Linked DNA regions of Cricetulus griseus. The protein of the gene in region 2 binds, or shares a complex with, the protein of the main gene of each other region. Links are inferred from orthologs where the notes say so. Each region holds a gene or a part of one and is shown on either strand. Other genes may lie near its edges.

Region 1 (4,270 bases), about 150 Mb from region 2:
CTTACTAGTAAGTTTGTATTTGAAAGGAGGCACTGGATCCACGTGCTTCAAATATTTATATATTTTTGTCTCATCCAAAAATCAACTCCTCTCCCCACCCACCCCCCGCCGCCATGACATCTGTTCTGATCACTCCCGTTTTCTAGGTAAGGAATTGAGGTGCCCCAGATCACACAGCAATAGGCACTTATGTACCGCGACCCTTGCATGCAGGCAAGGCCCCAAAGTACTCATGGGCTGTCCATGACCAAACCTGATCATCTAACTGCAACAGAAGTAGCACTACATCACCAAATCTCCAAGTCTGAAAAGTCCTCGTTATGAGAATCCGAAGAGGCCATCCCTCCCTAAATACCCCAGCTTCGGGTCTGGACCAGCCTTAGAGCCCTCGTTGCGCTTCCGAGGCCCTCCAGAACCAGCAGGTGTTGTCCATGGACCGAGACTAGCTGGATCTTGACAGGTTCAGAGAGCCATGGGAGGTGCACGCACTACCGAACACTGTCTCAGGAAGTCCCCGGGTGCAGACTCGGAGAAATTCGATCAGGATCTCTGAAGCGCTGAGCTCTTTGGGGACAGTCTGGGTGAATGCTCAATTTTTGCGGTCAATTCCAAGGTGACCAAACTCTCCATCCGCCCTAACCCAGAAAAGCAGTGGCTGAACTACGGACTTCCTTAAGGAAGGCTGAGCCTTGAGAGCACATAGACTCCGCCCCACCGCCCAGTGATTGGTGATCCCAGAAGGGGGCGGAGACCCAGAACAAGCTCTATAAATATTCATGAGCCGGCCTGGAGGTGCTAGCTGACTGGAGCCGGGAAGTTGGGCGAAGGGCGCAGCTCCTGCGGAGGAGGAGGTGGCTGCTGGCGCAGACCACGGCCCTCAGGTGTCCCCTTGCCTTTTGCTCTGTGTTTGTTTGTCGGTCTCGCAAGAAGGCACAGCCTGCACCCTGACCGACTGTGACCACTAGAAAGCGACGTGGACTTTCGGCGGCGGCAGATGCAGGAGGACCGACTGGGACCGACGCGGGAGTGAGAAGGCGGCGGCCTGACCAGCGGAGGGCCCGGAACTCTGGCAGTGGCGGCGCGGCCTGGGACGGACATGAACCCTCGGGGCCCAAAGAGGGGCCGCTAGGTCTGACCCCAGAGGCGAGCGGCCAGGCACAGCCATCTTGACTGCGGCCCGAAAGGAAACTTGCTGCGCGCCGCCCTCTGAGCCTCCGCTGCTGGGCGCCACGCGAAGTGGCTGGGTGTGCAGGAGGACCTGCGCGAGCTCTGGACGATGAGCCCAGGGGCCACCACTCTGCTCCGGGAGGGCTGAGTGCCACCCAGAGGGCGTAGGGCAGACCCTGTGGAACTGTGGCGCGCTTGCGGTCACCCTCGCCCCAGGAGAGGCACGGGGGGGCGGGGAGGGCCGGACGACTTCTGCCTAAGCTTGCGACCCTGCTGCCACAGACGCTGCCCAAGAAAGGGCTAGATTGTTGGCCGATTCTCAGCTCCTCGGGAAGAAGCCGCACAAGACCCGCTGGTCGCCTGCTCTCCCTTTCCTCCGATTCCTCGCTGGGTCCCCTAGAGCCCTAGTGCGCGCCGCCTAGAGGAGGACGACGTGGGGCCGCGGCGCGCAGCATGGAGTGGGGTTACCTGTTGGAAGTGACCTCGCTGCTAGCCGCCTTGGCGCTGCTGCAGCGCTCCAGCGGCGCCGCCGCCGCTTCGGCCAAGGAGCTGGCGTGCCAGGAGATCACGGTGCCGCTGTGCAAGGGCATCGGTTACAACTACACCTACATGCCCAACCAGTTCAACCACGACACACAAGACGAGGCGGGCCTGGAAGTGCACCAGTTCTGGCCGCTGGTGGAGATCCAGTGCTCCCCCGACCTCAAGTTCTTTCTGTGCAGCATGTACACGCCCATCTGCCTGGAAGACTACAAGAAGCCTCTGCCGCCTTGCCGCTCGGTGTGCGAACGCGCCAAGGCCGGCTGCGCGCCGCTCATGCGCCAGTACGGTTTCGCCTGGCCTGACCGCATGCGCTGCGACCGGCTGCCCGAGCAGGGCAACCCGGACACACTGTGCATGGACTACAACCGCACCGACCTCACCACGGCCGCGCCCAGCCCACCGCGCCGCCTGCCGCCGCCGCCGCCGGGCGAGCAGCCGCCCTCCGGCAGCGGCCACGGCCGCCCGCCAGGGGCCAGGCCCCCACACCGTGGGGGTGGCAGTAGGGGCAGCGGGGACACGGCGGCTGCGCCCCCCTCGCGCGGCGGGAAGGCGAGGCCCCCTAGTGGTGGCGCGGCTCCCTGCGAGCCCGGGTGCCAGTGCCGCGCGCCGATGGTGAGCGTGTCCAGTGAACGCCACCCCCTCTACAACCGCGTCAAGACCGGCCAGATCGCCAACTGTGCGCTGCCCTGCCATAACCCCTTCTTCAGCCAGGATGAACGCGCCTTCACCGTCTTCTGGATCGGCCTGTGGTCGGTGCTCTGCTTCGTCTCTACCTTCGCCACCGTCTCCACCTTCCTCATCGATATGGAGCGCTTCAAGTACCCTGAGCGGCCCATCATCTTCCTCTCCGCCTGCTACCTCTTCGTGTCAGTCGGGTACCTAGTGCGCCTGGTGGCAGGGCACGAGAAGGTGGCCTGCAGCGGTGGCGCTCCGGGTGCGGGCGGAGCTGGGGGTGCTGGCAGCGCCGCGGCGGCTGGCGCGGGGGCGGCGGGAGCGGGGGCGAGCGGCCCGGGCGCGCGCGGCGAGTACGAGGAGCTGGGAGCCGTGGAGCAGCACGTGCGCTATGAGACCACTGGCCCCGCGCTGTGCACGGTGGTCTTCCTCCTTGTCTACTTCTTTGGCATGGCCAGCTCCATCTGGTGGGTAATCCTGTCGCTCACGTGGTTCCTGGCGGCTGGCATGAAGTGGGGCAACGAGGCCATCGCAGGCTATTCGCAGTACTTCCACCTGGCCGCGTGGCTGGTGCCCAGCGTCAAGTCCATCGCGGTGTTGGCGCTCAGCTCCGTGGACGGCGACCCGGTGGCAGGCATCTGCTACGTGGGCAACCAGAGCCTCGACAACCTGCGCGGCTTCGTGCTGGCACCACTGGTCATCTACCTCTTCATTGGCACCATGTTTCTGTTGGCTGGTTTCGTGTCGCTGTTTCGAATCCGCTCGGTCATCAAGCAACAAGGAGGCCCAACCAAGACACACAAGCTGGAGAAGCTCATGATCCGCCTGGGCCTCTTCACTGTGCTCTACACGGTGCCTGCCGCCGTCGTTGTCGCCTGCCTTTTCTATGAGCAGCACAACCGTCCACGCTGGGAGGCCACTCACAACTGCCCATGCCTTCGGGACCTGCAGCCCGACCAGGCACGCAGGCCCGATTATGCGGTCTTCATGCTCAAGTACTTCATGTGTCTGGTAGTGGGCATCACGTCGGGCGTGTGGGTCTGGTCCGGCAAGACTCTGGAGTCCTGGCGTGCGCTGTGCACTCGCTGCTGCTGGGCCAGCAAGGGCGCAGCCGTAGGCGCGGGAGCCGGAGGCGGCGGCCCGGGGGGCGGCGGTCCGGGGCCTGGTGGGGGTGGGGGACCCGGCGGAGGCGGGGGATCTCTCTACAGCGACGTCAGCACCGGCCTGACGTGGCGGTCTGGCACGGCCAGCTCCATGTCTTACCCTAAGCAGATGCCATTGTCCCAGGTCTGAACCCTGAGCGGACGCCCAGAAGGGGCGGAGAGGGGTGGGGGATGGGGAGCCCGAGGGCGGCGAAGGGACCCCAGATCGGCCGGGGTTCCCACCCCTTCACCGTGTTGATTGCTATTAGCATGATAATGAACTCTTAATGGTATCCATTAGCCGCTGGGACTTAAATGACTCACTCAGAACAAAGTACCTGGCATTGAAGCCTCCCAGACCCAGCCCCTCCCCTCCGACGCTCCGGAGCGCCTCCCCCAGGCAGTGGTTTCAGTCGTCTAGGAGAGTTGGAACCCTCCTGGGTACCCTGGCTAAGCCTTGAGGTCAAGCTACACACTTCACCCAAGGGACTGCTTCACCCTCGACCCCCGCCTGCATAAATTCACTCCTCATACACCCTGGAGGAGGGACGACTGCTACCTTGTGGGATTGCACGGTTTGGGTATTCTTAATGACCAGGCAGATGCCTTAAATAAACAAGAAATGTCTTAATTATACACCCCAAGTAAATACGGGTTTCTTACATTAGAGGATGTATTTATATAATTATTTGTTAAATTGTAAAAAAAAAAGAAAAAGAAAAAGAAAAGTGTAAAGTATGTATATA
Region 2 (3,810 bases):
TCTCAGAGCCCCTGGACCAGGCACAGGTCCAGCCTGCACATCTACACTTTATACTCTGGTGCTGCAGGCCCATGTCTCTTCATGTGTTTTAGTCAAGGCACAAATAGTACTAACGAAAATAAGCTTGTGATACGAGAACAAGCTTGTCATATCAGAAAAAGCAGAAAAACATAAGTAGTATAACTTAAAGGAAAGTTATTTTCAAAAACAGCTCTCAACAGCCCGGCAGTGGTGACAGACACATTAATCCCAGCACTTGAGAGGCGAAGCAGGCAGATCTTCATGAGTTTGAGGCCACCCTGGTCTACAGAACTAGTTCTTGAGCAGTGAGGGGCACACAACAGAGAAACCCTGTCTTAAAACAATCAAAAACCAGGTCTCTATCTATCTATTTATCCATCCACCCACCCAGTCAGCCAGCCAGCCGGCCGGCCAGCCTTGTGCATCCCAGGCTAGCTTCAAGTTCCCTATGTTACCACAGATGACCTCTTGCCTCCACCTCCTGAGTCCTGGGATTATAGGCTATATTGTCGCACTTAGTTTATGTGATGCAGGGGATGGGGACAAAACCCATAGGTTTCATGCATGCTCAGCTAGCACTCTACCAACAGAGCTACATCCTAGCCGAAAATTATTTCTAAAAAGCAAAAACATGCACAAAAATATTCAGATCCTAAAAGACGAATACCATGTATTTAAAACTTAGCTTTTAAATACAAAGATTAGGAGGGTACGGCCATCGAGGAGGAGCTTATGCTACTGGGTGACAGAGGACAAATCTGGCCCTGAGGATATCTAAAGTAGCCTTGCTGGGTGATCTCAGACAAGTCCTATGACATATCCAGTCTCAGTTTCCCCACTAATAAAAAGGACTACCATGTGGTAGAGGGTGAAATACCACTCCTGGCTCAGGATACCAGGGATAGATGGAGATATACAAGAGAGAGAAGAATGCTTGTGGCTATGCCCATACCTTTGGGATGCCAAGTGGTTCATAATCCAGAGTAGCCTAGCATGTGTAAGGAGAGTGAAACCAGAGCCCTGCCACTCAGCGCCCATACCACAGCCCTGAGGTCACCAGCCCTCACCCAGCATGTTGGAGGACTCAATCATGTTGGTGTCCAGGTCAGTCCAGTACAGTCGCTGGTCGGCGTAGTCAATAGTGAGGTCATTGGCCCGGCCCACCTTGTCTACCAGCGTCATGCAATTGGTCCCATCCATGAAGGCCCGCACGATCCTCGGCTTGCCGCCCCACTCAGTCCAATAGATGTAGCTGGAAAGTACAGGAGAGGAAAGATGGGCAGGGCTCAGGTGAGTTCTGGCTTAATGCAGGGTTTGGGGAAAAGAGTAGCCACCATCTCCTAGACTCAGCCCCCTTGCTCTGAGGGAAGTCAGTCAATGATAGAACCCCAGGAAATAAAAAGGAGCCAGTTTCAGCTGTGCTTCAGCCATAGCTCTGGCTCTCCCCAGGGGCCAGGAAGAACTCTCGAGCAGCCAACACAGGACAAGTAGAGGAGGCCATCAGACAAGGTTGTCTAAGCAGGCAACATATCTTAACTAAGGTGGCTGATTGCTGGTGTGTCCTGTCACTCAAGAGAGATGTGGGCAAATTCAGATGGATGGAGCTTCTTCTCTCATAGAGTGAAAACCCTGACTAGGGATAACACAACACAGAGGGCCCCTTCCTCCTCTTCCTCTGCATATCTGAGAAAGATGCTCACATTCAAAGGCTTGGAAAATTTTCTTGGCCTTGGTAACCATCTGGACATTTGTCTTCCTCCTGCCATCCTGCCTGTGTTCCAGGCATGGGACAGGATTCAGTTGTCCCCCATGACAATATGGACTCTCTATGGGGTGAGTATGTGCCCTGCACGACAAGGGACACTTGGGACTAGAAAGAGACTGCATTTGGCCCACCGGGCTCCAGCTTCCAGGGTAGCCTAAGTGTTACTTAAGACAGCCCATGTGGGGCTGGAGAAATGGCTCAGGGGTTAAGAGCACTGACGGCTCTTCCAGAGAACCTGAGTTCAATTCCCAGCAACCACATGGTGGCTCACAATCATCCATAATGAGATCTTGTGCCCTCTTCCAGCCTGCAGGCATACATGCAGGCAGAACATTATATACATAATAAATTAAAAAAAAATCTTAAAAAATAAATAAATAAAGACAGTCCATGTGAAAGCAGCCAGAGGTCTGTGGCTGACAGTGGCTTCAATGCTGTAAGCATAAAGAGCTAGGAAGGGGGAGGCAGTGACTTCAACACAGAGGCACTTGTGAACAGATGGACAGGGCCTGGATCGAGTGACAGGCAATAACAGTGCTTACCCTTTAGTAGGATCCAGCGCCAGAGACCTGGGGTTGTCAAGGTCTTTCCACACAAGCACCTGACGGAACTGCCCATCCAGCCGGGCCACCTCTATCCTATTGGTCCCTGTGTCAGCCCAGTAAAGGTTCTTGCCCATCCAGTCCACAGCCATTCCTTCAGGGTAGTCTAGGCCAAACTCAATCACGTGTTCCACTGAGCTCCCATTCATGAAGGCTCGGCTGATAGTCTGGGAGGGTGAGGATGGAAAGGGCCATGTTAGGATCCATCATCTTTTGTAGACATCAACCAGGAGACAGCAGACTCACCAAACAGATAACTGAAAGGCAGGAAGATGACTTCCGTAGAAAAAGCAACTTGGATATTTGTGCATGTCCATGTGTGTGATTTTACACAGATGGAGAATCTAGAAAACACTCCACCCAGTAATCATACTTGAATCTGGGAAGGAATAAAAATATAGAAGACTGCACTGAGAGATGGTTCAGAGGTTAAGAGCACTTGCTGCTCAATCGTGAGAACCAGAATTCAGATTCTGGCTCCTACAGACAGCTCATAGACACTTGTAACTATTTCAGAGGAATGGACACTGTCATCTGGCCTCTGTGTACACTGGACACATATATGCTCATATAGTCACAGACATAAATGTACATATGTAAAATAAAATCATGTATGTATGTATGTATGTATGTATGTATGTGCATGGCAAGGAAATTTTCAAACATGAAACTGCTTTAGGAACTGTTAACAATTAGAAACGGAGTGAGGCTGGAAAGTTAGCCCGGGGATTAAGAGCACTTGTTGGTCTTGTAGAGGAACAAACAGTTCCCAACACCCACATGATAGCCTTCAACCACCTGTAAGTCTAGTTCAGGGCACCAAACACCCTCATCTTTTGACTTCCAAGTCATTTCTTTAAAAATGGAAAAAAAAAAAAAAAACTGCCAAGAGGAGTGGTGTATGCCTTTAATCTCAACAGGCAGGCAATCTCTTGAGTTGGAGGCCAGCCTAGTATACAGAGCAAGATCGCACAGGGAAACATGGTCTCAAAAAACCAAAGAGAGAGAAAGAGAGGGAGGGAGGAGAGAGAGAGAGAGAGAGAGAGAGAGAATTAGGAAAGGACTGGAGAGATGACTTAGTGGTCACAAGTGAATGCTACTCTTGCAGAGGACCCAAATTTTGTTTCCAGCACCCACATCAAGCATCTCATAACTGTAATTGCAGCTTCAGAAGATCTGACACCTTTTTCTGGTCTCCACAGACACATAAATGAAATTAAACATTAAAAATAAATAAGTAAATAACCACAAGCAAATAAATAGTAGCTTCAGATACAGGTGATCTTGTTTCTCTGTACCTCCCTACCCCCAGTCCCCCTTTCTTGAATCAGGACAGTCCAGGCTAGTCTCAAACTCATGGCAATCCTCTTGCCTCAGACCCCTGAGTACTAGAATTACAGGCATACACCACTATATCCCCAA

What was found.
Region 1: Lrp5 (region 2) and frizzled-8 share a complex: the UniProt entries of both Homo sapiens proteins name them as parts of the wnt-signaling complex. The link is inferred for Cricetulus griseus from reciprocal best matches to the Homo sapiens genes LRP5 and FZD8.

What each region holds. Positions count from the first base shown.
Region 1 is NC_048596.1:205,980,735-205,985,004, reverse strand, and holds frizzled-8, read left to right. Parts: upstream 1-1,620; coding exon 1,621-3,675; downstream 3,676-4,270. UniProt on the Homo sapiens protein: Receptor for Wnt proteins. Component of the Wnt-Fzd-LRP5-LRP6 complex that triggers beta-catenin signaling through inducing aggregation of receptor-ligand complexes into ribosome-sized signalosomes.
Region 2 is NC_048596.1:55,621,595-55,625,404, reverse strand, and holds part of Lrp5 (low-density lipoprotein receptor-related protein 5), read right to left. Parts: intron 2,556-3,810; coding exon 2,329-2,555; intron 1,274-2,328; coding exon 1,089-1,273; intron 1-1,088. UniProt on the Homo sapiens protein: Acts as a coreceptor with members of the frizzled family of seven-transmembrane spanning receptors to transduce signal by Wnt proteins.